Linked DNA regions of Notamacropus eugenii. The protein of the gene in region 1 purifies or fractionates together with the protein of each later gene. This does not show direct contact. Links are inferred from orthologs where the notes say so. Each region holds a gene or a part of one and is shown on either strand. Other genes may lie near its edges.

Region 1 (16,234 bases):
GTCTCTAACCTGTCTTCCAATTAGAAATCAGATTACATAATTGTGTATCCTGACTGTTTTCTTTTAACTAATTGGTCTTATTTGATTAATTATTTTTAATGCATAAAAATCTGTCTCCTCCTGTATTTGGAGTCCAGCGTCAAAACTGAATAGGACTGAGCCCAATTTGTTATGCAATTGACCTGCGTTGTTTAATAAAGCTACATGCTCAGAAGCTCAAAACTTGGTTTCCTCAGTCATTTCATCCTTTACCCACCAACTAGTCTGTCTATGCTTAAACTCTCCTTTTCATTACAGAGAGAGGAAAAAAAATCTAATGTCAATCCTGTTTTTATCTGTTCTTTTATGTCCTTGTGAATTTCTTTTATTAAAAAATCTTGAAAAGGTTTTATCCATTACAGAAGGTTTATAGAATATACCATGTCATTTGACAATCATCATCAACAACAAAGATGTATTGAATACTTGCTAAGTACAAGGTGCTATATTATTAACTGTGGTCTGAGATTTGGTCCCATGGTTTAAAATTAAGCTCCTGGAAAGTGGTTAAAAATTGAATTTGAACCGTTTGCCAAAATGTCCCTTGATCTTTGCTTATAGGGTCTCCTAAAAGAAGCAGGACCATTGATTTTTCTAGCACTGAGTTGATACTTTTCTGATATAAGCCACAGTAGTAGTTGTCAAAGATCTTACTAGAGAACATCTACTTTCATTAAGCTCAAGAATAATAAAACCATTGGTGTCCCTCACTTTTAGCCCTCTTCTTCAGTAACCCCAATTTGAAGTTTTTCCCCTCTGCCTGAAAAAAATCATTCCTTCCTACCCAGGCCTTCCAACAATCCTGTTGTTCCTCTCATTCTTTGGAAGGAAAAAAAAATCAAAATTTAAAATTGGGTATAAAGAAGTAAACTTCCCATTGAATTCCCAAAAAACATTTTCTCTCATCATAAAATGGACATGTCAGTGAAAAGCCACAACACAGAATATCCTGACATGGACGTATTTTTGCTTCCCCAAGTAGAGTGCCTGACGTCGGCAAATGGCAAGACCCATCCTTTCATCTACCTCCCCCTAGGCCCTCTCCAGTACATCTGGCCTCATTAGAGTCCTAGACAAAATAGGGTATCAACCTGGCATTGTCAAGCTAGTTTTGCCCTCCTAAAATGCGAGGAAGAACTTCAACTGAGACCAAATTAATGCAATGATAACAGCTCACTAAAAGGTGAATTTTATTGAAAGGTATTTTACATAAGCACCAAAAAACCATTACAGGTCACCATTTCTGGAAAACTGTGATTAATGCTATGCAAGTCATGTACATACTCCCCTTCTCTCTGCCCTTATCTGGTTATAAATTTGGATTTTTGGACATCAGGTTTTATTCAACTAATATCCACAGGACCCCATTATTTTAAATAGCCAAATACAACAAAAAAACATAGTATTAAAGAAACGTAGTATAACCTCATGTAATGGAATCTGCTAATAAGGAATCAGTCCTTAGAATACTCTCAATATTTTCTATGGACAATCCACATGAAAGAGTAGTGAATCTGCTTCCAAAAATGCATTAAGGAAGAGCCCTTCCTCCCTTTTTTAAGGAGTGGGGACTGGCCCTCCCTGCTCAGCTATTTAGAACATGTGCAGGTATTTAGATATTCCCTGATTCTTTCCTACTGGCTTATTGCCATCATGCCAAAAAGACTTTTAATTTTGGTGATTGGGCTAGAAGTACATGTGCATACAAAAGTCTCAAAGGAATGGAACAGTTGTCTCTCATCTGGCACCTTTGAGTGAAGAGGAAGAATGGCTGTAGATCTCTGGCTGAGGAGGAGGGAACCTTCTCTCTTACTGGGCTGCCTTGAAGTTGTGAATGCATGCCACTGATATGTCTTGTCTCTGTTATGTTTATTCTTTCCTGAACTTAGGTGAATAAATATCAGAAATAGACCAGATCAGATATGACTTTGTGAGTTCAAAAGGCTGGAAGTGATACCAAAGGCCCAGCAACTGGAATTTGTGGCAGAGTCTGATAGTAGTTATGGCATACAAGGCTCAATGGTGAATTAATCTGGCAGTCAAGGAACTACATCTTGAAAGCAAAGAAGTGACTTATGAACTGGTTATACCAGACCCAGAGGTGAACTCACTGTGGTAAATGTTTGGTGTTCACCACTATGTCTGACTCCCCTCTATCAGATGACTGAGTGGATACATAAAGAGGAGGGTATATCCCTGAGTTGAGGGAGCAAGTAGTCATTTTATACTTCTGACTTTGCTATGCTTTCTCAGTAAATATCTCTTTGTAAAAGCTAATTGATGTTAATTGATATTGAGGAGAGACCAGTTGATTAAACTGATATTGGGTATATATTAACTGATGATTGATATTGGGGGAATAGCTCGAATGGGGATGGGGTGAATTCAAGAATGATCATATTACAAAGACACACCCAACCCTTCAAGGTTATATATCTAGAACTCAAACACATTATACAACATAGATAATGTTAATTTGTGGTTTTCTAGGTCAATAAGTTGCCCACAGAGACCTGTTTCTATTTGAGTTAAACAGCACTGGGATAGATTATCTCTAAGGCTCCTTCCTCTTTGGATGTTCTATGTTTTATGACACCATAAATCTCTAGTGATACTTTAAATCTCCTACAATAGAGATTCTGAAGAGTCAAATTTACATAATGAAATGTTTACATAAATACAATACATTTAAATATAGATTATACTTTGTGCTATATGGTTTGATGTATTGTGTTTGAGGAAGAGGACATGGAGAGATCTTACTATGCAAGCTGATGATGCAAAGCTGTTGAGACAAACTACTACTACATTATGAGCTCTGAGGGAGTCAGCTCTGTCTTATTTAATATTTTCATTTCCATTAGAACTTTTAACACAAAGCTCAAACCTTATTATTAAGTAGGGATAGCCACGAACTGGACTTGTGATTTCATGGGTTATAGGAAACTCCTGAATGAGGAAACTCTGTGTACCAATGTAGGTTGGCACATTCTCTCCATCTTATGGGTTTAGGGAGAGACCTAAAATATTGAGGGTTGCAGTGACTTGCACAAGGTCATATAGTTTATTTGTGTCAGAGGCAAGTCTTAAACTGCCATCTATATGGCCTCAAGACCATCTCTCTAGCTGCTAAACTATGTTACCATTCTATCTATTACTAAGTACACACTTAATAAATCTTTATTGAAGTTGGAATCAGAGATCAACATACAGAGTCAGCATATTTGAAGCTGGACTAAAGTTGTACTAACTAAATAACTTCCCCTCTTTCTATCCTATCTAGCAACATGCATTGGACAGTGAACTTTTGCAAAACCCTCTCATACTACCAACTTCCCAAAGGTGTTGTGGATCAAATGAGAATATATTCGAAGTGTCTTAGAAAATTCCAATGGGCTATACAAGTCTATTTCAAATGACATTTTCCTGACTAACATTAATGCTGTTAAGACATTATAACCAAAGGCCATTGTAAGTATGGGATGAAAATTGAATGGTCAGTGACTATGAAATATTAACACTGTGTTTTCATTTTAATTAATCCTTAAGATGAGTTATGACTGCATGCTTAGCTATCACTTCTTATAGCATCACTTTACTTCCTGTAAAATATCATTTTAGCTACTGATAGGCTTAGTCCAAGCACAAATTATAAAGCAGACAAATTTTGTCTATCACTAACTTTTCCTCTCTATATTTTTCCTCTGCCTCTCTCTACATCTCACAGGAAGCTCATTGCTGTCATACTAACTTGGTCCCTCCTGATTAAAATACCTGATAAACTAATTTATATTATAGTGTTAATAACAATGCATGGCCTCTCCCATAGTTATTTGCATTTTAAAAGGGGCTGCCAGAAAAAGGGAATTTTTAAGCCAAAGGAATGTATCTATAATGGCAGAATTCCTGGTGCTGTTGCACATAAATGGGGAAAGTATGGGCTCAAGGGAAATAAAGCTAGAGAGAATCTTAGAACCAATTAAAACAAGGAAACGTATTAGAAAACATTTGAATCTTCTGTGTTTCCCAAAATATGTAATACAATTATTGATTTAGGACTAGAATTAAGACAGTCTGGAACAATACCCTCGGTTTATGAGCAGCCCGAGGCCCAGAGAGGTCAAAATGACTTGTTCAAAGGTACTAAGGTAGCAAATAGCAAAGCCTGGAATGAAACTCAAGTTGTCTGATTCAAAGTCCCTGTGTTTTTTCCTTTCTACTACAACAAGCCCTTACCTATAAGTTACAAGAATCACAAATTTCAGAGTTAAAAGGGACTTCAGAGGCTATGCAATCCAACTCATACCTGCATGATAATCTCTTCTATAACATGTCCAAGAAGTAGTCATTCAGTCTTTATTTGTAGACTTCCAGTATGGGTAAATCCACTCATTCTCAAGGCAGCCCATTCCACTTTTGGAGAGCTATAATTGTGAGGAAGTTTTTCAATATATCAAACTAAGTTGCCTTTTCACAGCTTCTATTCTTTCTCCCAGTTCTGCCAAGCCAAACAAGTTTAATCTCTTATTTGGACAACAGCCCTTCAAATGGCTGAAAACAGCTATCATATCTACCCTTAGGCTTCTCTTATCAAGAATAATTTAATCTTCACAGGGATTGATCTAGAGGTCATTTACCATCTCAATCACCCTCCTGTGGAACCAGCCTAGTAATTTCCCTTCTAAAATGTGCCACCCACAAGGGAACACAATAACCCAAAAGGAGTCTGACTAGGGCAAAGTATAGGACTACCTACCATCTCCCTCGTCCTGGATATTATTCTCCTTTTGAACACAACGTAAGATTATATTAGCTTTCTTGGCTATTATATTGTACTGTTAATTCATGATGAGTTTGCAGTCCACTAAGATCTCCATATCTTTTTCAGGTCAGCTACTCTTCATCCACGCATACTTTATCCAGAAAATCTGGACTTGATTGTTTTTAAGCCAAGTATAAGATTATGACATTCAAGTTCAAGAGACATAGTTTCTGGGTAATTAATCATTTTATTAATCATCCTAGAATATAATTAATAAAAGGGTCAGTGGCACTCTGGAATGCTTCATGGACCCCTCATGGAACCCACTCAATGCTTATATATCCTTGGAAGGAAGGTTAGGTGCTCCTGATGGTGGCAATCAACTCTGATTGGTTAACAAGTAATGAAAGAATGGATATAATAATGAAAGGGGGGCTTATTCTAATAAGGGTCTGGGGGACATGACTGATCACTCAATCTTGGTCAAAGAGACTTATCTATACCCATATCACCCAGTCCAGGGTAGTCTAGATGAAAGGAGAAATCCACTTTTATCCAGACCTGTCTAACACAATGGACCAGAATCCATCAATTCATTTAAAGTAAAATTTCTTTACTGTTTGTTATCTGTTCTTTTGAACAGATCTGAGTTTACCCTCTCATTATCAGCCCTGCAATTCAAAGGCCCCCTGAATAACCTACAAAAACTGATTTCTGAATGAGCAAGTAGGAAAGGGGAAAACGCTTAGTGCTAATTAAATAATTGGTTCTTATTATAGAAGGAAAATAATCATTTCTCTCAAGACTTTTACACTTATCCCTACTAATTTTCATTTTATTAGGTTCTATCCTAAAACGCTAAACTGTAGAGGGGTTTTTTTTGGAATGCTAATACTGTCATTCAGTGTGTTAGCTTGTATGCAAATTGGATAAACATGTTACCTATGTCTTTATCTCAGTCATTGATATGACTGTTAAACAGCAAAGAGCCAAGCTCAAATTCCTGGAGCACTCAACTACATGCCTCCTTAAAAGTTGATTTTAAATCATTAAATGAATGACCTTTCAGTCTAGCCATTCAATCAGTACCAAATCCACCTAACAAACCTCCAGCTTTCTCCCTCCCTTCCTTTCTCCAGGGTTAAAATGCACGAGTGACTTGCTCAAATGTTTTGCTAAAATCTAGGTTAAGTTGTACCTAAATAAATGAAATCTAAATGAGCACTCCACCAATAAAGCAGTCTAAAACTTCTGTCAAAAATGGAAATGAGAATATTATGACAATGCTCATTTTCAGTGAAATCATTCTGGGTCTCTCATCACTATTTCCTTTTCAGCACATTCAATAACCATTCTTTTAATGATTCATTATGGCAATTTGCCAGGAATAAAGGTCAACTTCATTGGCCGGTAGCCTGCAAATTCTACTCTCCTTTAAAACAAAAATTGGGACATTTTCCCTTTTCAAAAATCTGTGGAATCTCTCCAGTTCTCCACAATCTTTCAAAGATTCTTCAAACCGTCAGTTTTCAATACTATCTAGGATATAGTTCATCTTGGACAACTCAGTAAGGACAAATAGGTACTTGGATCTCTTCATCTGCCTACTTGTCTTGAGTACCAACTCATGACTGGCCATTCTTGGTCATTATTATCAAATGATACAACGTAAGTGAAGCATTTCAAGAACGGACTCTGGAGTCGGAGGATTTGAGTTCAGATCCCGCATTGGTTGCTTATTAGTGACCTGTGTGTGCCATTTGATCACCCTGGGGTCCTCCTTTTCCTCATTTGTAAACAAAGGGGTTGGATTGGATGACTTCTGGGATCGCTTTCAGATCTAGATCTGCGATCCTGTGATCTCACTTTGCATATAAATGTCAGTGCTTATTATTGTTCTTATGGTGTACTTTCCAGTTCACAGATTATTCTTTTTGACAGAAAACCGTAGGAGAGACAGACAGAGAAGGGGGAGGGAGACAGAGACAGAGAGACAGAGACGGAGGGAGTCAGAGACAGAGAGACAGAGACAGAGAGAGTCAGAGACAGAAAGAGACAGAGAGACAGAGAGAGCTCTGCCTTTTTTCCCTTACATACTAAGATCAGTCCTGCCTAAAGAAAACGGGGTGGTTGGTATTCTTGGGAATTCTTTTGGGGGGGGGGTCCAATTTTCAAATGGCAAAACCTCTAAAATCCCTTTCATTTTAAAAAAGTCATAAGAGCGGACAAACCGGATTTTGAAATTTGTGCGACATCTCACAAGTGCCCCCGTTTCGCTGTATTTAGAAATGCCCGGTCAGGCTGGACCCGGCCCGGCCCGGCGCGACAAGGAGCGGCGCCGGATCAGTCCTTGGGCCCGGTCCGCGCTCGGACCACGTGAGAGGCCGCTTCGCTGACGGCCCAGGCGAGGTAACACGGACACGGCGCTAAAGCGCGGCTTCCAATCATCCAGAGCTAACGAGGTGTGAGGACTGCGTGTGTACGTGTGTGTCAGACCGGGCGGGTCGGAAAGCTGGAGGGTGCAGCGAAGGGGGAAGAGAAGCCGTGGGGGGCTCCGGAGCGCCTCCCCTCGCGTCACCTCGGCCGATCCCGGGCTTGGGGGCTCGGGGGCTCAAGCTTCGCGCGGCCGTCCAGACGACCCTCGCTCGTTATCCCACTTTGGATCAAAATAATAGGGACGAGGTCTCCCTGAAAGACTGAGGGAAGGGACGTCGGGAGGGCCACGCGCGAGCTGCAGGGGCTCGAGGAGGCTGCGGCGGGAGCGCGCGCGGGCCCCTCTTCCCCCTTCCCCTCATCCCGTCTAAGCCCCACTCCCCCGCCCGAGACACGCCGGGATCGCGGGCGTGCGGCCGTGGCCGCGGCGGCCCATCGGCTCTCGAGGTTCCCCCAGCCGCCTCCCCGGAGCCCCGCCCCGCCCCGCCCCGCCCCCTTTCTCGGCTCTGGAGGCTCCTCGGCGGGCCGGGCCGAGGCGAGGCCGGGGCCCGGGCTGGGGCGAGGCGAGGGCGGGGCGGGCCCGAGAGCGGAGCCGAAGCTCGGGAGGCGGCGGCGGGCGGCGGCAGCGACGGCGACTGTGGGCTGGTCCGTCCTCTCACACATTTCCACTCCCGCACGCACGCACGCGCACACCCGCACACCCACACGCCCCCCTGGACTCTCGGCGCTCCCGGAGGCGAGCGGGAGTATCGGGTCGCGGGCGCTGCCGCGGCGGAGAGCAGCCGGCTCGGGTTTCTCTCCCGGCTTGGAGCGGACCAGGAGGAGGAACTGGAGCCGGAGCCACCGAGGTACGGATGGGGGCGCCCTGTGCCTGCGGCCGACCCCGGGGCCCGAGGCCGGGGAGGCAGGCGGGGCCCGCCCAGCAGCCCCCCGAGGAGGGGGGAAGCATGGGCAGGAGCGCGGGACGACTGCTCCCCCCTCCCCTCCCCCCGCGCGCTCAATGTCAAGGTCTGGGACGGGAGGGTCAAGGGCTCGCGAGCCCCCCCAACCCCACCCCGCGCCCCGCTCGGGGAAAAGTGACTCCCGGGGCGTGAGGAAGGGGCCTGCCCAGGTTGGGGGGTGGGGGTGGGGGTGGGGGTGGAGAGACTTCCAGGCAACCAGTCGGTAAACATTGTCAAACTAATCCTCCGGTGTGCCTAGCGCTGTGTGGCGCCCTGGGGATAAAAGTAAAATTGATTGACATGAAATAAAACGTTAAACGTTCAAAGCTCCCTTTCCCCGGGGACAGACGAGGCAACGGGAATACGCGGAGATCCCCCCGCCGCACTCTGCCTCGCGCCGTGCCGTGCCCTCCTGGGGAACTTGCTCATCAGAAAAGCCCGGCGGGGCAGCCAGTGCCAGCGGTCTGGAAGAACTGACTTGTCAGAGACTCCTGCCCCTCCCCCTCCCCCTGGGCTTGGCCAAACAAGGCTGTGTCACAAACCTCATTTTATGAGAACATGTTTTGACCCCTGGCGATTCCGAGGATGACTCGCTGAAACCGAGTTAAACGGTGCTCCTGCTCGGGGCAGTTGGCCCTGGCTCCGGACAGCCTGGAGAGTTGTGCTAGTGTGGGATGGGCCATCGCACCGGCCGTGGTGGGACAGAAAGCCCGGTTTAATGCGCTGCGCTCACAGCTCAGACTTCATTGACATGCCACATGCAGCTTTCAGTTTGGAGAGCACTCGATGTAAACCAGCTGGCCCGGGGCTTTGTCTTAGCCTGGAATCTCAATTCAATGTGCTTTTTCTGTGGTTAGTCAGAGTACTGGGACATTCTAGTTCTTCAGGAGAAAGGGCTTGTAAAAGGAAAGGAAATTGTCAGTGATCAGATTCTCCAATTAAGGGTGTCTTTAAAATGTGGTGTTTCTTCAGATTATAATTAGTATTGAAACTCAAAATACATAATTGTAAAAGGTGGACCATATCCGTCACCTCACTTTGTAAAGTGCCCATACAAGTTCTGTCATTCTTGGCTACGACAATCCTGAAATCCTCCATAGTTCATTGTTCTCAGGTCCTGTTTTCTTGAAACTCAATGTTATGAACCTATAAATTGTGGTATTTGGTCAGATCCATGGTCTGTTGAACCTTGGGGGTTTTTTGTGTCAGAGGAAAATATTGTGGAAGGAGATATACGCGGAAGGGAAAGTAAGTCTTTTCTGATGACAGCCTCAGATCTTAAGCCTGCTTAAAAGTTTTTGGAACACAAACTCCACCACTAGTACTGTCACGTTAGAATGATGACCAAGATTATTGTCCCGTAGTGGTGATCTCACATCTTAAATAGGTGAAGTTTTAAACAGTCTTGAGCAGGTTATGTTACTGGCCCCTGATGGACAGTGCTGCCATTTTGCTGGTTAGGGAGCAGGTAGTCAAGTGCCTACTGTGTGTTAAGTACTGTGTATATGAAAAATGAAAATAAAACAGTCTTTGCTTTGAGTAAGCTCTTATTCTGTAAGAGGAAACAACATATACATGTGGGTAAGTACAAAATATGTGCAAAGTAATTTTAAAGTCGTTTATTAAGTGCCCACCTTTGTGCTAGGCACTAGGGGTTGCAAGAAAAAAAAGACTGCCCCAATGGACTTACATTCTATGAGGAAACAAAAAGTATTTGTAAGTAAGTACAACATACATACAAAACAGTTTATGAGAAGAGGGGACAATAGCAGCTTGGGAAATCAAGGAAGGCTTCCAGTCTTCAAGTAAATAGCACTTTGAGCTGGTTGAAATCAAAGGATTATGCTTGTGGGTTGAATTTATAAGAGTTGCTGTAATAGTAAACTGAGTGCTTCTTTCTCTCAGGCCTAGGCTATCTGCTGAACTTCCTTGGCCTTAAAGGGGCCTCATTTGTATAAAAAATTATGTAATTAATCTTCCTAGGGGTCAGTTTATAGGACAAGTAGGTTCACTAGCACTGTACTCCAACTTAGAATTTGGCTGCTACAAAATCATGTCCATGCTTGTGATGCAAAATGCCATCCATATCCAGAGAAAGAACTATGGAGTCAGAACGGAGAATGAAGCAGACTATTTTCTCTTTTGTTATGTTTGGTTTTGTTTAGTTTTTTCGTGCCTTCTCCCATTCGTTTTAATTTTTATATGCAACATGACTAATGTGAAAATGTGTTTAATAGGAATGTATGTGTAGAGCCCATATAAGATTGGGAGGGAGGGAGAGAAAATTTAAAACTTGTGGAAGTGATTGTTGAAAATTGAAAACAAATCAATAAATAAATTTGGGGGAAAAAACGAAATCATGTCCATGGCTAGTTTTAAGACATTCACTTAAGTGGTTAAAGGACATTTCAGGATTCCAGACACTTCCTAGGATCAGGACGTTTGTAAACCTGTATATACAGTGAAAGTAGGGCAAAGATCTGTTTGACTCCAGAGGTCCACTGTAATATCTGATACTTAGAGAGCCAACTTTTCAGGAGCATTGTCAATGGGGAGAAATTCAGAATGAACTCTTTGTCATACTTTGTTACTGGGTGGTACAGTGGTATATGTAGTAAGGAATGGTACTCACCTACACGTCAGTAACAAGGGAGGCCAAAGAATTTTTTAATTGTTTCGTTTGTGATTCGTTCCAAAGGGACCAGCACTCTTGGGCTGGCCCAGGTTCACAAGTAGGAGTCATTCTCAGCTCTACTCTCCTGTCTTATATCCAATCAGTTGCCCCTTCAATAACTCTGTTCTTACCACAGCCTCCTTAGTTCAGGCCTTCACCACTCTCCCCTGGACTATAACAATAGCCTCCTAATCTTTTCCCTATATCCAGTCTTTCTCTTTTCCAGTCCATCCCCCAGAGTTGCCAAATTGATTATTCTAAAGCACAGGTTTGACTGAATCATTCTCCTGCTCAAGAAACTTTACTCTCTACGTTTCCAAACTGTGCTTCCCCCACCCCGCCCCACAGCCCCCATCTTCAGAATGACATTAAAACTCTTCTGTTTAGTATTTAAAGCCCTTCACAATCTGGCTATTTTTTTCAGGCTTGTTACAATTACTCTTCTCACCCCCACATACTCTGTACTCCAGCCAAACTAGCCTACTTGCTGCTTCTGGTATGTGACATGATGTAACTAACATTCCATTTCCTTCCCCCAGGCCTTTGTACAGGCTTTCTCTCATGCCTGGAATGCTCTTTCTCTTCAGCTTCACCTCTTGGAACCCCAGACTCCCTTCTTGGCTTAAGTGCTGCTTCTTTTCTAATTCCTTCAGATGTTAGTCCCAATTCCAAGTCACTTATTATTTTACGTATCTCTTGCATTTCATTATCTGTGGATATATTGTGTCTACCCAATAGAATATAACTTCACTAAGGAAATCGACTTGCCTTTGTGACACACAGTTGACACATAAATGACGGTACTTGGATGAGTTCTTAGACCATATGCTGCCAAAGGTCATTAAGTTATTGTCCAGATACATCATGATATGATGTCATAGTTCAGAGTCTAAACACTTCATTCATAAAGTATTCAAAGTCAAAGGAGGTATTAGAACAAATGATAATTCTGTATTTAAAGTCAATAGATCAATACTATTTTTCATTCATTATCCTCCAAATTATAGACTAAAGTACATGTTCTCCATCTCCCAGAGAGGTAATTTTATTTTTACAGTAGCTAGTGTAATCTAAAAGACTCAAGGTAGTATAATGAAGAAAATAGTGATAGAGTCGTAGAATCATAACATTGAAAGGGACCAAAGAAATTGTTGCATCCAACTGTTTCATTTTATATATGGGTAAATTGAGTTACAGAGGTTAAGTGATTTTTTTCCAAATTAGTAAAGTGTCAGAGCTAAGACTACAATCTAGGTCTTCTATCTAAAAGATAAAAAAATCTTTTTTACTTTCTTTTTGTTTAAATGAAGAGCCCTAGAACCTTAGCCAGTGATTTAAGGTGATTGAATGAGTCCTTCAAATTCTTAGTGTTGAAATCACAATGTGCCGTTCTTTCTAGTCTATGTAATGGGCATATCTGTTCCACCAAGATCTATCACCTTCCATCAGTCCTGTATTTAACTGATGGAGTAGCTATGCACTTGCCTTTATTAAGCTGAAAATTATTGATAGTATTGTTATTTTTCTGGAGGGATGTATTAAAAGTCATTGAGTAAAGGAAAACATACTGGATTGAGAGTCAGGAGATCTAGATTCTAAATTCTGACTCCATCATTAATTAGCTGTGTGACCCTTAAGTAAATTGCTTAACTTTTCTGAGCTTCAGCTTCTGCTTCTGTGAAATAAATGGCTGGTTGATTGCCTCTTCATGTCCCCTTTCACCCCAGAGCCAGTTTACACCCTCATCACCCCTGTAGTCCCCTGCTTGCTTTGGGCATTTACTTCTGTAAATATAATGTTTGCAATGTATTTTGCAAGTGGGGAGAATAAAGAACTATAGACACCAGAGCATTATAAGTAATTTAGACTGTGTAAGCATTGGGCACAATACTGCGAAGTGTATTAATTATGATGATGTCATTAATTTATATTCCATGAAAAGTTATATTTTAATCACTTAAATTTACAATTTTATCTCTCAGAATGATAGATGTTATGCTACTACTGTATTTCTAAGTTGAAAATATTTTTTAAGAAGTGTAAATAAATACATACATTCACTAGGGTGGTGGGAGAAGAGAGGCAAACTTTTCAAACCTTGCCCAGGGCACTAAATGCCAGCACTCACTTCTAGTCACCTCTAGTCAATCTCTTCATTTTCTTCTACTCAAACTTGCTTTTTCATAAATCTTCATAAGGAAATGAATTGTCTTTTGTAAACTTTGAGGGTGATCTGTATGTCCAAGATGAATTGTTCTGAGACTGAAACCAGTAACTGGTTTCATTTATGTCTTTATATCCCTTGCTCTTAGCACAGTACCTTTATACATAGTAGTCATGTAACAAACACTTGTTGGATGAGTTCGGAATTCTCAATCAGATATCAGTAAACCTCTTTTGTGTCCAAGTGAGCTGTCCAGATAAAGCACAGCTGTACATATAGTCCTAGGCTACCTCAACATAAAGAATAAAAGAAGCTCTCAAGCATTGTGCTCAAAGACTTTTCTTTTGTAAAAAATTCTTATTCTCATGAATTCTTCTATCTTAACTAATCCATATTCCTAACCTTGCCTTAGATAATTCCTAAAACTGTTCAGACCATGATCCTGAGTTCACACTCTCTTGATTTTGTATTTTCCTCCACTCAGTCAACAACTAAGATGTGGATCACTGACTCAACCTATAGCCAACAGTACTGTTACCCAAGAACCTATCACTAGATATCAACGTTCCTAATTACTTTTAGAAGGAGGATGCCATGATGAAGGTATAGGCATTGCCTACTGTAGGACAAGACTGTCTTATAGGGAGAGCACTTTTGGATAAAGGAAAATGATAAACAAGAATATAAACTCTTTGAGGAAAAGGTCTGTTTTGGTTTTTTTCTTTGTATCCCTTGGACCTAAGTGCTTTGCATATGGAAGCCACTTAATAAATGTTTGTTGTTGAATAAACAAATACATTACTATCTGAACTACAGCTGGCTGTGAATGCAACTCCATTAGACTGAATAGTTCCCGAGAGAATCTTCTCCTCTCCCCTCATGCAAATAAATTCTTAATCAGTCTTTTGGAGAAATTTCATGAGGTCCTGCAGTTGTTGCCTAGTTTTATAATGAAAAACTAATTATAACTACAACTGAGACCCAAAGATTTCTTCATAGTGTTTTTGTTTGCTTAGAAGAAACTAGTTTACTAAAAGACAGTGGTACTCGGTAGACAAACATCAATTCAGTTAAAGGCTGTTTGTAAACATTAAAATATTGTATATGTGTGAATTATCAGTCACTTCTTGAACATCTTATGGGAATTTATTAGCTAAACAATCTTATTCTTGTCAGCTTTTGAATAGGAGCTTCCCAGCAGGAAATTCATCTTCTTACCTTGCTACCTAGGGCCTAGATCCAGCTATTTGCCTAGCAACTTCAGGGAGAGTAGACTCTACCCAAGTGTAATCCAGAAGACCCCAGAAGAAAAGAAACACTGATAATACTTTAATTTCTTCCATTGGTATGTACAGAACAAATACTACTGTTCCATGTAATCAGAAATATCTGGAGGAGAGGGAGGGGGAAGTCATCAGTACCACCATGGAAGGGACCCTTAGGACTGGCCTTGAGAATCAAGAACTCTCCCCCACATCCACCCCAAAGACATATCCTGTTGTCACATACAACTAATGTTGATGGTGCATCTCTTCCGGAAGAACATTCTGGGTCTATATCATACTTGGCTGGTGCCTTGAGCAATTTTATTACTCAGTCAACAAAAACTTAAGTGCTTCCTGTGTGGCAAGAGCTATGCGAAGAGCTGGGAATACGAAGAAAAGGCAAAAACACTCCCTGCCCTCAGAAACCTACATTCTAATGATGAAGACAATGTATAGGAAATATAGAGTAGAAGAAGGGTTGTCTTAGAGGGGAAAGTATATATACAAAATACATCCAGAATAGAAGGAAGGTTACCATGGAAGGGAAGGCACTAGTATCTGGGGGGAACCACAGAAGGTGGCTTATTGATGATTCTTGAAGGAAGCCATGGATTCTGGAGGTAAGAAGAGAGAGCATTCTAGACACAGGAGAAAATGGCTGCAAAGACTTAGAGATAGGAGATGGAAATCAACTAAGCCACATGATCCAAAACATATCAGTGAAACCTCTCCCCTTAAATCTTCTGTACCACTCCTCCCCCTTCATCTCATCCAAGGACTTTCTTAGTTTATTCAGAAAACAGAAATCTTCTGTGGCAAGCTCCTTTTCCCTACTAAACTTAACCTTAAAATCCTTCTTCATTCTTCATTCTCTTCTCATATGCTACTGTCTCTGACAAAGAAGTAAGTAGCTCTTCTCCTTCCAAAGCCAAATCTGTCACTTTTATCTTTGGTCCTCCCAGCTCCTTCCAGAGCTTTTCCCTTTTCAATACTTTCTCCCATTAGTAATCTCTTATTTTCCACTGGCTTTTCCCCATCATCCCAAAATATGCCCAGTTCTTAAAAAAAAAAAAAAAAGCAAAAACTTTACTTAGCTCTATCATTCTTTCAAGCTATCATACAAAAATTTCTCCCTTTCATAGTTAGGCTTCTAGAAAGGGGCCATCACATTCATTACCTCTTATATTTAGCCACTCACTTCTCAATCCCTGATAACCTGGCTTCTGACTCTTCCACTGAACTGAAGGTGCCCTCTACAAAATTAACACAGTAGCATGACATTTTTTAAAAACTTTGATACTTGGTTGAATCTGTGATCTAATTGATGTAGAGATACTTTTCCAATAGTACATATTACAACTTTCCCTGTGATTTTTGTTTGTGTCATGTATAGATCCAGCATAAAAGGGATCTATACCCTCTATGCTAGGGATCTTCTTATAACTCTTGAAATTACAAGGGTACCAATTGAGTTCACAGGCTGTCATCCCTCACTTTTGTTACATAACCAGATTGCATTTTTTTTTTCTGGTTGTGTATCCATTTGGTGGTGTCTTTTATGCCAGTTCCTATTCTCATTTATTTTAGGTATGTACCTAAACCTAACCTAACATGCCTAACCATGTCCATCTTGTATTGCTCCATCAGATTTTGGATAACATGTTGTTTTAATTCTTCCAGTATTGTGGTATTTCATGATTCAAGCTTGATGACATCCACTTCTTATATTTACCAAAAATTTGAGATCATTATCCAGCAGCTCCTTATTCTTTCCTTCACTTTATCTCAGATCACTGTGGCGTCATCTCTTACTGTATCCTTTACTCTGGTGTCTAATGGAGAGAAAGTGGCCTTCCTCCTTATTAGTGCCAAGCCTTCTACATGTTCGCGTGATTCTGTCTCCTCTTCTCTTTTTCAGAAGAGTACCTTCAAGCTGTGTCTAATCTTTAGTCTCTC
Region 2 (16,449 bases), about 310 Mb from region 1:
ACTTTCCTCAATCTATTCCCATCAGCCCTAATGCTTCCCACAATTCTCTACACCTCTGTTTGAGCCACTCCCTCCCCACCCCAGTATGTCTTTCAAGGCCTCAGGATGCCTGCCAGACCATCCCAGCAGGCAGGGCCCTTTTCTCTCAACAATCTCACAGCACTTCCCTCTTCCCAAGACAAGGCCTGCCAACTAGAATCATGTAGAATCAGCCTATTTCCTCCTCTCCAGATTGCTCATAGGTATTTAATGATTGCAGCAATGCTCCACCCCCTCAAGTCTCTTTCTTCTATAGGCTAAAAATTCACAGCTCCTTCCACTATTCACTCTCCATTTGGCCTGATCCCCAGACCTACTCTGGTTTGTCAATGTCCTCTCTAAAAAGTGGGTCCTGATCCCAACACAACCACCTACATGGGGTCTGGCCAGGAAACAGGAAAGGAGGACCACCACCCCATGGATTTTGTTCTCGTTGTTGTTATTTCAGCTGCTTCTGACTCTCTGTGACCCTATTTGGGGTTTTCTCAGCAGACATGCTGGAGCGGTTTGCCATTTCCTTCTCCAGCTCATTTTACAGATGAGGAAACTGAGGCAAACAGGGAGAAATGGACTTGCCCAGGGTCACCCAGCTGGTAAGAGTCTAAAACTGTATTTGAACTCAGGTCCTCATGGTGCTCTATCCACCACACCTCCTGCCTGCCATGTGGATACCATATTTCTATTTGTACAAGTGAAGATTACATCCCTTTTACTAAAGTCCTCCCCAAATGCCTCTGAGGGCACAAAGGTAAGTGCCCTCTCCAGGATTCTTCCAGCAAAGAGCAAGCACTGACAGGTCCTACTGAGCCAGCAAGGGACTTCGTGCCTCTCTCCACACCCATTTCAGCCAGAGATACACACCAACAGAATAGTGGCCACCAAGGGATGGTGCAATGTTCAGACACAGACGCTCCAAGATGGTTTTTCTGAGATGTGATGGAGCCATGCTCTGCATCACCAGAGAGCACCCACACAGACTAAAGCAAGAAGATGCCTGGGAGGTACTGATGATGGAGGTCACCTGCCAAATCACTGACAGTGAGCTTGCAGCCCACTAGGACCTCTGGGTCTGCCTCACGGGAATAGCTGTCCTAGCACTTCTATCCCATTCCAACCTTGGAAAACAGAACCCAAAGGGTAGGGTTTCCAATTCATCCCCATTAAACAGCTTCTTGTTAGATCTAGAAATTGGAGGAGATTCTAATTTGGACATCCACTATGTCTTTATTCCTGACTAGCTACAATGCCATCCACAAATCTATGCCTTCATCCAAGTCCTTCATGATGTTGGTGCCCAGGGCAGGGCCCCAGGCCTGCCCCGAGTCTCCTTCCATGCTGACACCAATCCATCACTACTCAAATGGTCTTCTGGCTCAGTCAGTCAAACCCACCCAACCCAGAGCATGCCCCATCTCCTCTATAACCCAAAGGAAAGCTGGATACAGTCAAAGAGCTTGCAGACAATCAGATACACCAGTCTTTGGCAAGTCATTGATCTGCCTAGTCTAGTGGAGGACTACAGAGGCTGCTCTCTTGGCACCCAGAATGTCCCAGCCCTGGATAAAGTCCCACCATCCCCTTCCCAAACAGCCACCTCATCATGTATCAGTGGGTTCCTTCCCCTCATCAGCCTTTTCCTCAGCACCCAACGCCCAGAAGGTCACAGCTGTCTGTGCAGTATTCCTTACCTGTAAGGAATGGAAGGAGTTCACTCCGGGTCCTCTCCACACCAAGGGCCAGGGCAATGGTGGACAGCTTCTTGATACTGTTGAGCCGGAGCTACAGAGGAAAGCAGAAGTTAATAACCAAGGGCCTGGGAAAGTAGACCACTCAGCAGCCTGGCCTGTTCCCACCAATCTTCTTGGTCTGCCAAGGGTGCCTGGGGAGGAGGAGCTTTCAGGCAACAAACATTTAGCATGAGGAACACAGAAAGATCCCCAATCTGGCCCCAGCCGCAACCTGTACAAAGAGTATAAGGCTGGAATCAGGAGACTAGGGTTCTAACCATTCCATGTTCATTGGTTAAAAGGCCCTCCCAACTCTGAGATTCCATTTTCTATGGACCCTCCCAGCTCTGAGGTTCCATGTTCTATGGGCCTGCCAACTCTGAGGTTCCATGTTCTGTGGGCCTCCAGCTCTGAGGTTCCATGTTCTATGGGCCTCCAGCTCTGAGGTTCCATATTCTATGAGCCTTGCCAATTCTGAGGTTCTGTGTTCTGTGGGTCCTCCTGACTGAGTACTCCTAGGGTTCTACCTCTAGCTTTTGCTCCCCCAGCTCCCACGATGATCTGTCCTATGAAATGCCCTGAAATCACTCCTGCCCCATTTCTGTCACTGATCCAACTTCTCACGTTTCTCCAAACACAAACACAGAAACCCAAGCCTTCAAGGCTCTGGTCAAGCACCACTAAGAAGAGGACCCTGAACTCCATGACATACTGAACACACTCCCGCCTTCCTCACAAGACCTACAGGCCTTAATTTCTGGGGATGAGCATGGTTTGTTGCACAGGGTAGATATTTAATAAATGCTTGTGGCTGCTCTGAACCACTTAAATGACATACATGGCTTGGTATCAATTCAGGGAAAGTGCTCCCACTTCAAGTGCAGGCTCCAAAACATTCTAGCTCTGTGACCCTGGGAGAGTCAATTCCTCTCTGAACCTCAGTTTCCTCTTCTGTAAAATGGCCACAATAATACTTAGTCTATCTAGGTCATAGGGCTACCACAGGAAAAGTGCTTTATCAACATTAAAACACGCAAAGAGCTGTCCAAAAGGTCAAATGAGATCATGGATATAAAACACTGCACCAAAACAGCACTGCAAAATGTTTGCTTTCATCATATACACATTCCATTCCCCTCCTAAACATAGGCTGTCCTTGAAGGCAAGGGCTACACAAGGTCTACTACACTGTGGCGCTCAGCTCGGTGACCTGAACAAAGGACTCCCTTAATGATGGTCTGCTTACCGAGCTAACTCTTGATGAGAGCAGAGGGAAGAGAATGAAAATCGCTGCCAACACTTGACACCCCTAACCTCCCCCCTCTCTCCCCCTGCTTATTTACGCCTATAACATGCGAAAGAGATTGTGAAGAAAGGGAAAACACTGGGCAAAGAGGGCAGAAAACTTGGCCAGGTGATTTCTAAGGTCCCTTTAAAGGCCTCTCTTCTAAACTATTTCCATGTAACAATTCAGTTGCCTCATTTTCCTTAACCAAAAAACAGAACAAACAAATCTATGCATTAGAAAAATTAATCTAGCAGCCCATAAAGTCTGGATTTGAGAGGGGAAGAGGCTAGAAGCAGGAAGATCTCTTAGGAGCCCCCGCTGATAGTAAAAGCAGTCCCATCTACGAGCCACATTTTATCCTTTCCTGTGGAAGGAGATTAACAAAGCTATTACCTGCTGGCCACCACTTCCAGGAAGTCTTTGGCAAATGGGAATTAACTCTCTCTCCCATGAGTGACTCATCTCTCCAGATGAGCATATAGTCTCTGAGGACAAGACTGTTATTCATCAGTGTCTCAGGAGCACAGGGCTTAGCCACACAAGCCTTTAGATCAGAGCTGGGAGGGCCTTCACAAACCATGCACACTCCCCTGACCTTGCAGATGGGGAAACCACTGAATAAATGAATAACTGGCTTCCAGCCTATTTCCCTTCCAAGATCCCCCCGCACCCCCAGCACCATGGTAACAATGCTCCCTGGCACTGGTGGAGAGCTTTAAGGTTTACAAAAGGCATTTCATTCCCATTCGACTCCGCAAATGTTCTCCAAGACTGAAATCAAGCAAAACCATATCATTCCAGGCATCAGCTGCAAAGATAGAAAGGTGGGAGAGCATAGGCTGTCAAGAGAAGATGGTGAGTGAGGGTGACCACTTTGGCCAGGGCCTAAGGGTACATAAAGAGAAGTAATAGGAGATTGGCTAGAAGGGTAGGATGTGGTCTAGCAGGGAAGGCCTTAAATAACCAGAAGAGTTTGAACCTTGGTCTTTGGGCTGCAGGAAGTCATTGAAGGCTTTTGAGCTCAGGAGTGCCATGAAAAAAAAATCTACTATTGGGAAGAGTAATGCTTTCCCTCTGTTAATTATATCCTATTTAGCCTGTACATAGCTTGCTTTGTGTATAACTGCTTAGATGTCATCTTCCCCATTAGATTTTAAACTCTGTGTGCGCAGGGACTGACTTTTGCCTCTTTTTGTTTTCCCAGTGCTTGGCACATAGTAGGCATCTAATAAATCACAAATTTAGGGCTGGAAGGACTTAGAGACACCAAGCCCAACCACCTCATTTCAAAGATGAGGAAACTGAAGGTCTCAGAAGTCAAGTGACTTGCCCAAGATCACACAGCTAGTAAGTATTTGAAAGAGGATTTGAGCTCAGGTCTTCCTAAGCCCATGTCTAGTACCATATCTACCATTCTTAAAACCATTAAGACCTAGATTCTAACCTCAGAGTACTATCTAGGTGGCAAATTAAAAAGCCAACAATTATAATGGAAAACAAACTCTCTAAATGCCTAAGATAGAGAGAAGCATGAGGTCAAACACGGTTTTGGAGAAAGAACAGATCACTTCCAGCTAAAGTGACCAGAGCAGGCTTCCTGGAAAAGATGACTTTGAAGTTGAGCTTGTAAAAACACAAAGCATGGGGAGCACTTCAACAGATCTAGAATGGTAAAGGGAAGGAAGTAAGGCCACTCCAAGCAGAAGGAATGGTCCATCTAGCCTGGCTGGTGGGGACAGGCGAAGTATATAAGGGAACTGGAAAGAGACTGTAAACTCCTTAAGAGCAGGCACTGTCTTTTGCCTCTTTTTGTATCTCCAAAGCTTAGCCCAGTTCCTGGCACATAGCAGGCATTTAGTAAATGTTTATTAATTGATGATGTGATTGAAGAGATCACAGGATTTAAAACAGGAAGAGGGAGAGGTAGTATCTTAGGGATCATCTAATCCAAATCTTTCATTTTGGAGAAGAAACAAAACTCAAGGATGTTGAGCGACTTGTTCAAAGTCAGGAGGGAAAAATTAAATAAGAGCTGGGATGTGGACACGACCTCTAATTCCAAAACTGGTGCTTTCACTATATCAACTACATGGCTCTAATAGGTTAAAAACCCTAAATCAGATCCTCTTGGCCTGTGGGAAAGCTAGGAAAGGTTGCTAACCAAGTGAAAGACTGCTTCATGGCTCAGCTTTAGGGAACAGCCCTGGAAACTGGAGTCTGAAGACTTGGATTCCAGTTACTGTTCCGCTACTTAGGAGCTAACGACATGACCCTGGGTGAGACCTTTTCCATAACTCTTTGGGCTGGCAAGGCTGAGGGGCAGAGGGAGGAACTATCCAAAGACCCTCTGCTCCCAGTGTTCCCCACTGTAAGCCATCCTTCGTGGGGTGGCCTCCCAGGTTCATCCTCCTAATTGACATCCAGATTCCATGGCACTCCTGAGCTGAAAAGCTTGTGGTTATTTCAGACCCTCCCGAGTCAGGCCCCACACTGACTGCCCTTCTAGCTTCCCTCACGTTATTCCCCTTTATTCCCTCAAGCCTCCACAAAGCGGTCCATTCCCGGTAAATTCTCTCTACTCTCCCACCTCCACGCCTTTGCAACCTATGCCTAGAACGACCTCGCTCTTCTTGACCCACAGAATTCCCACCATCGAGTCCGTCCCACCTCCTCCAAGAGGCCTTCCCCGACACCCCCCCCCTTCTTTCCCCCTCGGGCACACAGCATACTATCGTGCTTTAGTTCTCCCCACACTAGGGCAGGAGCCCCCCTGGGGGGAGGGGGCGGCCCCGCAGCCTCAGCAGGAGGAGGACCCTAAGGGAAGGTTGTTCTGGATTGGAGATTCTTCCCCGTTGTACAAACAGGGAAACTGAGGCCCAGGGAGGGGCTGTGACTTCCCCAAGGTCATGCAGTGGTCAGTCAGAGTCACGGGCACAAACAGACGTCCGACTGCACTACGCCCAGCCCCCAGAGGCCCGGGTCCGGGTCCCACCCGGCCCCAGACCCCGCGGAGGGAGCAGAGGGGCCGGGAGCCCAACCTGGGCCTCCGAGCCTCGGCCTGGCTCTGTCCAATGGAAAGCCGCCAAGGGGGCGGGCTCTCCTCGGCGATTGGCTCGGCTCGCCGTTCAGCATCACCCCCGGAGGGTACTTTCTCTACCCAGAGGGTCATAGGCTTGAAGAGGGGTTGGGGGAGAATCAAGATGGAGAAATGGGGGGGGCCCCAAAAGCACCACGGCCTAGGCTCCCTCGAGAGGCCTGGACCCAGCTGGGGATTTAATCCCCAAGCCACCAATTAGGAACCTCGGAGGAGCTAAGCCCCGCCCCTTGCAGGGGCCGCTCCCCTGCCTTAACCCACTGGGGGGTCCCCGCTTTCCGTCCGTGCCCAGAGCGAATCGAGAGGCTCTTTGCTCGCCGCGAACCAATTAGGTGGCCCCCTGCGCGCCGTGAGAACCAGGAGTGCCAGCCAATCAGGGGTTCCGGAGGCAGCCCCCGCGCCCGCGCTCCCGCCCCCTGACAGACCCGCTTGGCCTGGGGTCCCCGGGCCGGGCGCCCCCTCCCCAGCGGCACCGCTGTCCAATCAGAGATGCTGTCTCAGCGAGCCACGGAGGCGCGAGACAAGCGACGCGGGCGCTGATTGGTCCGCTTTCCCTCCCCCCACCCCCAGCCCTCAGATGCCAAGAACGCCGAGCCAGCCGCCCGCGCCGCCCGCAACCCCAGGACCCCCGGGCCCCGATCCCGGCCCTGACCTGGACGTCCTCGTTACGGAGCTCGTCGATGAGTACTGCGATGGGATAGAGCGAGTCATCGCCGTCGGCCGCCGCCATCTTGGCTCCGTCCCGCTCCCGTCAGGCTTCGGCAGCCGAGCCGAGCTGAGGGAAGGGAAGGGAAAGGAAGGGAGTGGGACGGGGCGGGGCGGGGGAGGGGCAGAGACACAAGCAGAAGGGGGGGGGGGTCTCCCAAGCGACTTTGCAGGGGTTTCTGGGCTTCCATTGGCCAGTCCGCACGAGGCACCGCGCGCCCATTGGCCCGAGTAGACAGGGACACGCCCCCTATCCTCTATTGGCCAGGGGAGAAAGGGGCCTTCTCTCTAGCTGGCCCACTTCCCGTAGAGGGGCGGAGGAAGAAGGGGCGGGCTGCTGCCACTGGCATCCTAGCAACCGAAGTGGGCCCGCCTCCTCCTAATCGATCTCCAAAATTTCATTGGTCATCGCCCCTAGCGACAGACCGACTGCAGCACATCCTGCCAATAGGAGGTGACGGACGGTGACGAGACTCGGCCTAGAGGAGGCCGGGCTCTTGGAGCGGTGCGATGACGTCATCTTCGGGGACTGAGAATGCGCGCTCCCACCCTGCTTCTCCCCCTGGTCCGCGCTGCCAGGTGCAGAACCTCGGCATGGGCGTGTCTGGCTTCTCCCAGGAAGCTGACGTCAGAGCGGGAAGGGCGTTTAGAGATCACTTAATCTGATTACACCTGAGCCCTAAGGAGTCGAGCTTCGTGATTTCACGGAGTATACCCTCAGTTGTCAAAGGCAGCGTGTTGTAATGGAAGGAACCCTGTGCCTGGGTTCGAATCCTGCCTGTGCCCCTAGTTCTCTGGGCATCCCCGGTCAAAAGCCCTCCCTGGGTTTTCCCCTCTGTAAAACGGACTAGAGAGACCCGAAGGTTCATCTCAGCTCTGGCCCTCAGAGCATTTACTGAGTGACTGCTGAATACAAAAGAAGCAAAGAAAGTGGGTCAAAGAACAGGGCCTCAGGAAGCTTCCAGGAGCTAGCCAGAAGGGCAGCCTATGGACACGAGAAAGTATGATACTGGGGCAGAGGAAGGAGGTGTTGGACCTGCTGGCTTCCCCAAGAACGGGGCCTCAAGAAGCTTCCAGAAGCTAGCCAGAAGGGCTAGCCTATGGACACGAGAAAGTGTGATACTGGGGCAGAAGAAGGAGGTGTTGGACCTGCTGGCTTCCCGGGTCCCTTCCAGCTGTCAGAGCCTGAATCGAGCGTAGACTGTCAAGCCCATGGCCACCTTAATTAATGGCAGTGGTACAGGGAGTCCTCAAACTCTCAGGGCCATTTTCTGTTAGCAAAGGTGTCAAAGCTTCCTGTTTACAGAACAGGACCCCTTCTCATTACAGATGAGACTCAGAGACAGAAAGGGACTTGCCCAGGGTCACACAGCCACAGTGTCTGTGGCAGGATTCCAATATGGGTCTTCCTAAGGCCAAGTCCCACATTCTACCAGAGTGCCAACCCCTCTCTGCTCAGGTCCCATGTTTCTGCTTGGATAGAATCCTAGACCTGGAGTGAGGTGAGACCTAAGAAACCAACTCGTCATTTGTTGTTCAGTCATTCAGTCTTGTCCAACTCTTGGTGACCCCATTTGAGGTTTTCTTGGCAGAGATACTGGATGGGGTTTGCATTTTCTTCTCCCTTTTACAGATGGGGAGACTGAGACAAACAGGGTGAAGTGACTTGCCCAGGACCACACAGCTAGTAAGTGTCTGAGGCTGGATTTGAACTCAGATTTTCCCAACTCCAGGCTTGGTGCTCTGTCTGCTGCTCCTCCTAGATGACTATCATCTCATCGTAAGAGCCTAGATTTGGAGCTTTAAGGGAATCTTGGAGGTCTTCTAGTTCAGCCCTTTCTTCTTTCAGATAAGGAAACAGAGGCCAGAGACATGAAATGATTCTTCCAAGGCCATACAGTGAATCAGTGGAAGCACCAGGATCTGACTCCAAACTCAGTGGGTTTTCCTGTTGTTTTTTGGAGAAGGTGGTCCCTGAGCTGGGGTTTGAAAGAAGATAAGGTGTTCAGCAGGTGTGGGGGAAGGGGAGTGGCTATGCCAGGCATAATGGAGAGCATGAGCAAAGGATCATGGGCAGGTGAGAGTGGAGGTAGGCAGCCTGGCTCAGGGGAAAGGTGCTCTGTGTGAAGGGAATGGTGAGAGAGAAGACTGGACAGGTAGGCTGGATTGTGGGAGGCTCTCAGTGCCAGGATTGAGAATTTAAGATTTTATTTGGGAGACAACCTTCTAAGGTTCCTCCCAGCTTTGACCTCCTACATGCTGAGTTTTGCCCCAGCCCTGACATCCCATGTTCCAAGGGCTCTCTCAGCCTAACATTCTGGGTTCTAAATTCCCTGTGATATTCTATGATTCCATGATGTCATCTTCTCCTTCATTCACACTGACCTTTCCAACTATCCTTTCCTCCTATCTTTCCATATTCCCCTAGGTCCTTGTTCTCGTCAATCTCTTCCTGTACCCTGCCTTCTCTTCCTCGGCCTGTGTATAGGTGTAAGTCTTCCTCAACCTACAAACCTTTCCACTTCCATCCATCCCCTCTTTGTCATAACCAGACTGCTAGAAAGAGTCATCTGTACTCCACTGCCTGCCCTTCCTTACTGTCCATCAAACATCAAGCATTTATCAGGCCTCTAAAATATGCCAGGCACTGTGCTAGCCACTAGTGATTCAAAAACAAAAATCAAATGTTCCCTGCTCTCACAGGGGCTGACATTCTGTCAGAGTGCTAGGGAAAGCCTAATGCCAACACCTATAGTTCACGTTCAAGAGTGGGACTAAATGAGACACTTACAAGTCATTGAACAGTTGACCAAAGGAGGTTTCCTTTGCTATAACCAGAAAGGATAAGCAACAAGAAGATTGACTTCTTTGGACTCAGCCCCACTTATCTCCATATGGAAACACATTTGGTGGTCAAGGCAGGCTATGATGATTTCAGAAACCTACAGATTCAGAAGGTCCTGGCTCCACTTGGACAGGATTTTCTATGCCCTTGGGTACCTAGGAAACTGAGTAGGGAGGAAGGGCCAAACAGCTGCTAGGGGCCATTTAGTTGCCTTTTAGAAAAACTAATCCTTGATTCTAGGAATCAGGGGAAGCAAGGTTGTATCACTCAGGGAAAGGGAGAAGTGTTTGTACAAGTGCAGACAGACTAGAAATGCACCAGTCTCTATGCCCTTACAATCTGACTTCCACTCAGCCCACTGAAAATGCTTCCTTCTGAAGTCATTCCTCGTCCTTCTTGTCAACTTCTCTGCAGCATTGCTACACGCAGGAAGCTCCCTCTTCTTCTGGATCCCATCCCCTAAAACTCCTCTTATGCTCCTCCCTGACAGTTCTGCCCCTCTGAGCACTGTGCCTCTGTCTCCTTGGCTGGCTCATCACCAGCCTCAAATTCCCCAAGTCTGGAGCTTCCCAATGGGTCTGTCCTTGGAGCAAGTCTCTCCATATTCTCTGCCTTCTCCATCATTCCTGTGATTTCTGTTATCACCTCTGTACATTGACCAAGCACAGTGCCTGGCACACAGTAGATATGTGGCAAATGTCTGTGCACTCCGATCGTTAAATCTGTCTGTCCAGCCCTCTGTGCCCTGTCTCTGACTGCTGTGATGGTTGTCTGGTATGTATGTGCCCAGATTTCTTCAACTTACTCAGTTGATGCAACGTGGAGAACCTGAGAAATGAGGATCTTTCTGGGAAAACAGTGAAGACATGTATGAGGGAGCTCTGGTGGGGGGGGTAGGGACCAGATCATGCATGGTCATTCTGTGACTGGTTCCCACTGACTAACCAGATCACAAGGCCAAGGAGAGCCTTCTTCAGACGTGCTGGCATTTCCAAAAGGCAGGCCCCAGCAAGCTCCAACCACCTCCACTTGCTTTATTCACAACATGGGGAGTGTGGTGGTCATAGGGCCCCAAGACACCAGCCTTGGTCTCTGGGCCTTTTTCTTTGTTCCTTTCTGTTCTAGGTCTGGGAAGCAGAGTTTCCCACTCATTTAGGGGCAGCAAGCATTCGGATTATGAGAGTCACAATCCAGGCCAGATGAGGCCACCAGCCCCATCAGTTACCCCAGGAGCAAGGAGAGATTTGGGGTAATGAACTGTGAGAGAATTCATCCAGCACTCTGGACAGTAACTTAGTGGGCCCAGAGCCAAGGAGGCCCCCAACTAAGATTTGAGCCTTCTCTCTCAGAGAACAAGGTGATGTAGGGAAGTGTCTGTCCCGGAGGGCTTGGCAGGCCACAATATAGAATTTCAAGAGTGTCTACTAACAAAGTGGGTCAGTGGTGACCTCCAGAAGGCCAGTGAGGCTAAAGCATGACAAGGTATTTTATAGCAACGAACAAGATTCCTGAACAAAATTTCAAGCTGCAGAAGAGTCTTATTCTGAAAAGCCAGAAAGTCAAAACCCCTAACCTCAGTTTGAAAATACCATCTCTTGGATCTCTCTTTATAAACACCGCCCCCCCTCCACTCCCAAGATCACCAGGCAAAGATATGACAACCCCACCTAGAGAGATGGAAATAGTCTACAATTTAGTTTAAGCCTGTTCTTTTCCCACCATGTGGGTGGTATGTGAAGTTATAAGGGTAAAGATACAAGTTACAAGATAAGAATTGTAACTCAGGTGACTTGAAGTTACCTGAGTGAAACTTTCAAAGGGGAATATTAAATCTAATTTGATAAACTATAATAATAGAATTAAAATCAATTTTCAATTTCACAATTTCTTCTTACTGTACCTTTGAAGCAAAAATAAAAAATTCCCTTTGCAAAAGCCTGTGTTAAATTGTTCAAAGGAACTGGGATGTTAGATACGAACTCCCTAACAACAGAGGGAATAACAGCCTGAGGGGACTTAAGCCTCAGGGTTGCCCTGGAAGCCTGAGGTGAAATGGAATAGGCCTGGCCCTGGTTACAGGACATCCCCTGTGCACCTCCATAGAACCTCGAGCTAGATCTCCCTCTCAGTCTGCTCTTTCTAACCTCAGTGTTTCTTTTGAGGGCATGACCAGGTTCTCAGACTCCTCTCGTCCTAAGCTTGCAGTGTTGCAAACCTGAAAGGGCTAAATAAATTTTAATCTGATTACCTTGACTTTTCCTTCTTGTATTTATTGTAGTTGTTCAGTCCTATCCAACTCTTTGTGACCCCATGGCCCCTATGGAGGTCATTCTATCCTCCACTGTATCCCAAAGTCTGTCCAAGCTCATGTTCTTTGCTTCCATGACACCGTCTACCCATTTCATCCTCTGCTGTCCCCTTCTCCTTTTGCCTTCAGTCTTTCCCATCATCAGTGTCTTTTCCCCTTGAGTTCCATCTTCTCATTATGTGGCCAAACTAAAAAAGCCTGAATCAATTTCTTTAAGTTTTAACTGATTTGATCTCCTTATTATCCAAGGGACACTCAAAAGTCCTCTCCAGCACCAGCTTTCAAAAGTGTTGATTCTGCAGTGCTCAGCTTTCCTTATAGTCCAGCTCTCACAGCCATACATTACTTCTGGAAAAACTATAGCTCTGACTATACGGACCTTTGTCAGCATGGCGATGTCTCCCTTTTTAGTACGCTGTCCAGATTTGCCATAGCTTTCCTTCCAAGGAGCAAATGTCTTTTAATTTCATGGCTGCAGTCAGCATCTACAGTGATCTTTGAGTCCAGAAATATAAAATCCAACACTGCTTCCGTTTCTTCTTCCTCTCTTTGCCAGGAAGTGATGGGATCAGTTGCCAAAATCTTAGTTGGTTTGCGTTTTTGGTTTTTCTATGTTAAGCTTTAAGCCAGCTTTTGCACTCTCCTCTTTCTCCCTCATCAAGAGGCTTCTTGGTTTTTCTTCACTTTCTCCCATCAGAGTGGTATCATCTGCACATCTGAGATTGTTCATATTTCTCTCGGCATCCTTAAATCCAGCTTTGAAGTCATCCAGTCTGGGATTTCCCATGATCTACTCTGCATCTAAGTTAAATAAACAAGGTGACGTGTGCAGCCTTGTCTTATTCCTTTGTGAATCTTAAATCAATCAGTTATCTCATGTTCATTTCTAACTGTTAATTCTTGACCTGCATACAGCTTCCTCAGGAGACAAGTACAATGATCTGGTACTCCAGTTTCCTTGAGGACTTGCCACATTTTGTTGTGATTCACACAAAGGTTTCAGTGTAGTCAATGAGGCAGAAGTAGAGGTTTCTCTGAGACTCCCTTGCTTTCTCCATAATCCAGCACGCCTCTTTGAGGACCATCCTACTCTTCTGATAATTCTTAATTCACATATTCCCGAAGCCTAGCCTGCAGAATCTTAAGTATGACCTTTCCAGTAGGTGAAGTGAGTCCATTTCTTCAGTAATTTGAGCAGTCCTTGGTGTTATCTTTATTTAGGATTGGAACATAAAGTGATCTTTTCCAATCCAGTGACCGCTGCTGAGTTTTCCGAATTTGCTGGCCTCTGGAGTGCAGCGCTTTACCAGCATCACCTTTCAGGATTTTAAATAGCTCAGCTGGCATTCCATCCCCTCCACCAGCCTCACTACTAGCAATGCTTCCTGAGGCCCACTGGACTTCACCCTCCAGGATGTCTACCTCTAGATCAGTAACCACCCCATCATAGTTATTGGAGATGTTAAGATATTTCTTGTGCGGTGCGTCTCTGTATTCTTGCGACTCACTTTCTGCCAGAGAGGGGAGAGATATAAAATGCAGACTGGGACCAGCATCGCTGCTTTGCTATGAAAAATTTTTTATTGTTATGAAGGTCTCCTCCTTTTCTTTTTGCTATTTACCTCTCCCTAACCCTCCCGAAAAAATAAGACACAAATGGAGAATAATCATAAACAAGAGGCATTTGGCACTCAGTTGGCATTTAATGAAAGGTTATTTAGTGAATGAATACTTAGAATTTGGGATCACAGAACCTCAAAGTAATAAACTCTGTTATTTTTGAAGCCCAAACCATAAAACTATAGAAGTCTTGAACTCAGGACCCTTAGATCCCTAGAATTCTCATTCCTTCTAAGACCTCTTCAAAAAATCTGGCCTTGGTCAGATGGGTGTGTAAAGAGAAGGGAGGACCACCAATTTCTGTTCTGGAGGATTCTCAAAGAATGGAGACTCTCACCCTCCCACAGGCACAAATGCACTGCCCCATGGGGAAGAAATCCTTCCCCATCAAGCATCCAATAATACTTGTTGTCCCTCCCTCCTTCCTTCTGTCTAGCTCCATCACCCAGAGTTGAAACCAGTAATCTTTTCAATTGGGACCAAAGAGAGAGTGGTTTGCCCAAGGTCCCTCAGTGTTCTGGGCCAGGCCTGGCTGAGACCAGGTTCAGATTCAAGATTGGAATAAAATAAAACACTCTTAGATTCCATAACCTTAAAAGAAGTTTACTCAACCATAGTATAGAAAGAGTATCCATCTAAGGTACAGTATTGGTACTCCAATCAAGGACAGCATTGATGCCCCTCTTGTCTCATTACACAATCGTCTACCTAGAGTCAGGTATTCCAGACTTTGTCACCATCACCCACCTGCACAAGTGCACACGCTTACATGTGCATGCATCCATACACATATACACACACTGAATACCAGTAACTCCTGTGAGAAATGATGATTTCTCTCTTGTATTAATAACTAATTATTGAATCAGAATCAAAATTTTTATTTCTTCATCCAGAAATCATCCAATGTGGGAAACTTTCCCAAAGGTTTACCCAGGCCAAGATCTAATCAGAAAGTAAAAGATATTCTAAGTTTGGGTCAATGAGAGGATTCCAGCTCATTATGTTTGCTCAGACAGGTCTGGGAAAATGTGGATCCTCTCTTTTGTCAGACAGGTATGGGAATTGTTAAGTCTCTTTGACCAAGACTTGGGTGATCCAAGTCATGTCCCCCAAAACCCTCACTGTACTATAGCCCAGGTCCCATTATAATATTCATTCTCTCATTAATTGTTAACCAATCACAGCTGATCACCCCTCTCAGGAATGATCTTTCAATGGTGTATAAACTGTGAGCCCACTGTGTTTAGCATTCAAGGGTGTCATTGACCTTTTATTAATAAGCATGCTGGTGTTATTCATAAAATAATTAAACTACCCAGAAACTATGTCTCTCGAACTTTTTAAATGTCTCCCATTTACCTCCAGGATTAAGTATAAAGCCACCTGGTTAGCACCTGCAGCTCTACGTAAGCTGAGCCTTTCCTCTCTCTCTGGTTTTCCTACACTGACCGCCATCTTCTTGTTCTATGCCCCAACTGCACCCAGCCTCCTTATTTTTCTCATACACAATACTGCATCTCTAGTCCCTTGGCCATGGTACTGACTGTGCCTCATGCCTGAAATACTACTGTCCCTCTACCTCTAGATTTAGCTCTAGGCATTGGTAATGGGGGAGCAGGAAAGGCCTCTTGTAAAAGATGGACCCTTTGCTGGTGAACTTGCATCCACTTTGTATGTCACCTGGATATATGTACTTATTTTCATGTTGTCTCCCCCACTGGAATGTTCATTGTTACTATGTGCCCTTTGTTTTCGAAGGGAACTTCTGGGGTAATGTCTTGACTTGTGCATGAATGGGATTGAGGTGAGGCAGAGCTGCACAAATTCCTCAGCCTTAGTCTCTCTTCTAGAGTCCTCAAAGTCCAGTGGCAGAATGACTAGCAATGGCCAGGACACAGCAGATGACCTTGGTGTCTTTGATGCCTGACCCAGTCTCCTTGAGGTAGAGACCATGTTTTTGTATTCCTTTGCATCCCCAGAACTTATCTAGGCACGTAGTGAGCATGTACTAAATGCTTGTTGACTGACTGAGTAACTGCTCTGATTCCAATTCTGCTGTTGCCTGACCAGATAGATTTTCTGGACCAGGGGTGGGGACCCTGCAGTCTCAAGACCACATGTAGCCCTCTAGGTCCTCAAGTGCGGCCCTTTGACTGAATTCAAACTTCCCAGAACAAATCCCCTTTAGAAAAGGATTTGTTCTGTAAAATTTGGACTCAGTCAAAGGCCCACACTTGAGGACCTAGAGGGCCATATGTGACCTCGAAGCCATAGGTTCCCTACCCCTGGTCTAGAGGTTGGGGCTGGGTCTTCTGCCAGCCCTTCCAGTTAGAGGAGCACAAATGTGGTTGACTGATAAGCCAAGGATAAATTCTTATTAATTTGTCTGTCAAGCATCCTCTCCTCACTCCCTGCATACAGAACCCTTGTTATTTTAATGACAGTAATTTTAAGATTCTGGAATTAAGAGGTAGACTCTGTCCAAGAAGACCCCTTGGTTGAGACTGGGAAACAGTGGATCTGAGTCAACTCTGTGATGTACTGGTTGACCATAAGCTTGGGCCTTTTCCAATCTGGGACTCACTTTCATCATCTTTACAGTAACAAGGTTGGTCAGTGTCACATAGTACCTGATAAGGTCCTTGCTGACTGGCCTTGACTAAGTTCCAAGTGACATATTAGAAAGAATGTTGGTTGTAATCCCAAATCTCTTACTGACTAGCTGTGTGACCTTGGACAAGCCTTCTATGGGTTCTCAGTTTACTGCTCTGTAAAATTAGGGTCTTGGACTAGATCATCCTGAGGTCCTCTATGTCTCTA

Evidence for each region.
Region 2: the proteins of PPP2R3A (region 1) and PPP2R1A purify together in Homo sapiens (affinity purification with mass spectrometry; 6 studies listed by BioGRID and IntAct, counting the BioPlex papers as one, with this or other methods). This does not show direct contact. The link is inferred for Notamacropus eugenii from reciprocal best matches to the Homo sapiens genes PPP2R3A and PPP2R1A.

The regions. Positions count from the first base shown.
Region 1 is NC_092876.1:331,682,441-331,698,674, reverse strand, and holds the start of PPP2R3A (serine/threonine-protein phosphatase 2A regulatory subunit B'' subunit alpha), read left to right. Parts: upstream 1-7,791; 5' UTR 7,792-8,082; intron 8,083-16,234. UniProt on the Homo sapiens protein: The B regulatory subunit might modulate substrate selectivity and catalytic activity, and might also direct the localization of the catalytic enzyme to a particular subcellular compartment.
Region 2 is NC_092876.1:25,187,600-25,204,048, forward strand, and holds the start of PPP2R1A (serine/threonine-protein phosphatase 2A 65 kDa regulatory subunit A alpha isoform), read right to left. Parts: upstream 6,994-16,449; 5' UTR 6,879-6,993; coding exon 6,801-6,878; intron 1,819-6,800; coding exon 1,728-1,818; intron 1-1,727. UniProt on the Homo sapiens protein: The PR65 subunit of protein phosphatase 2A serves as a scaffolding molecule to coordinate the assembly of the catalytic subunit and a variable regulatory B subunit.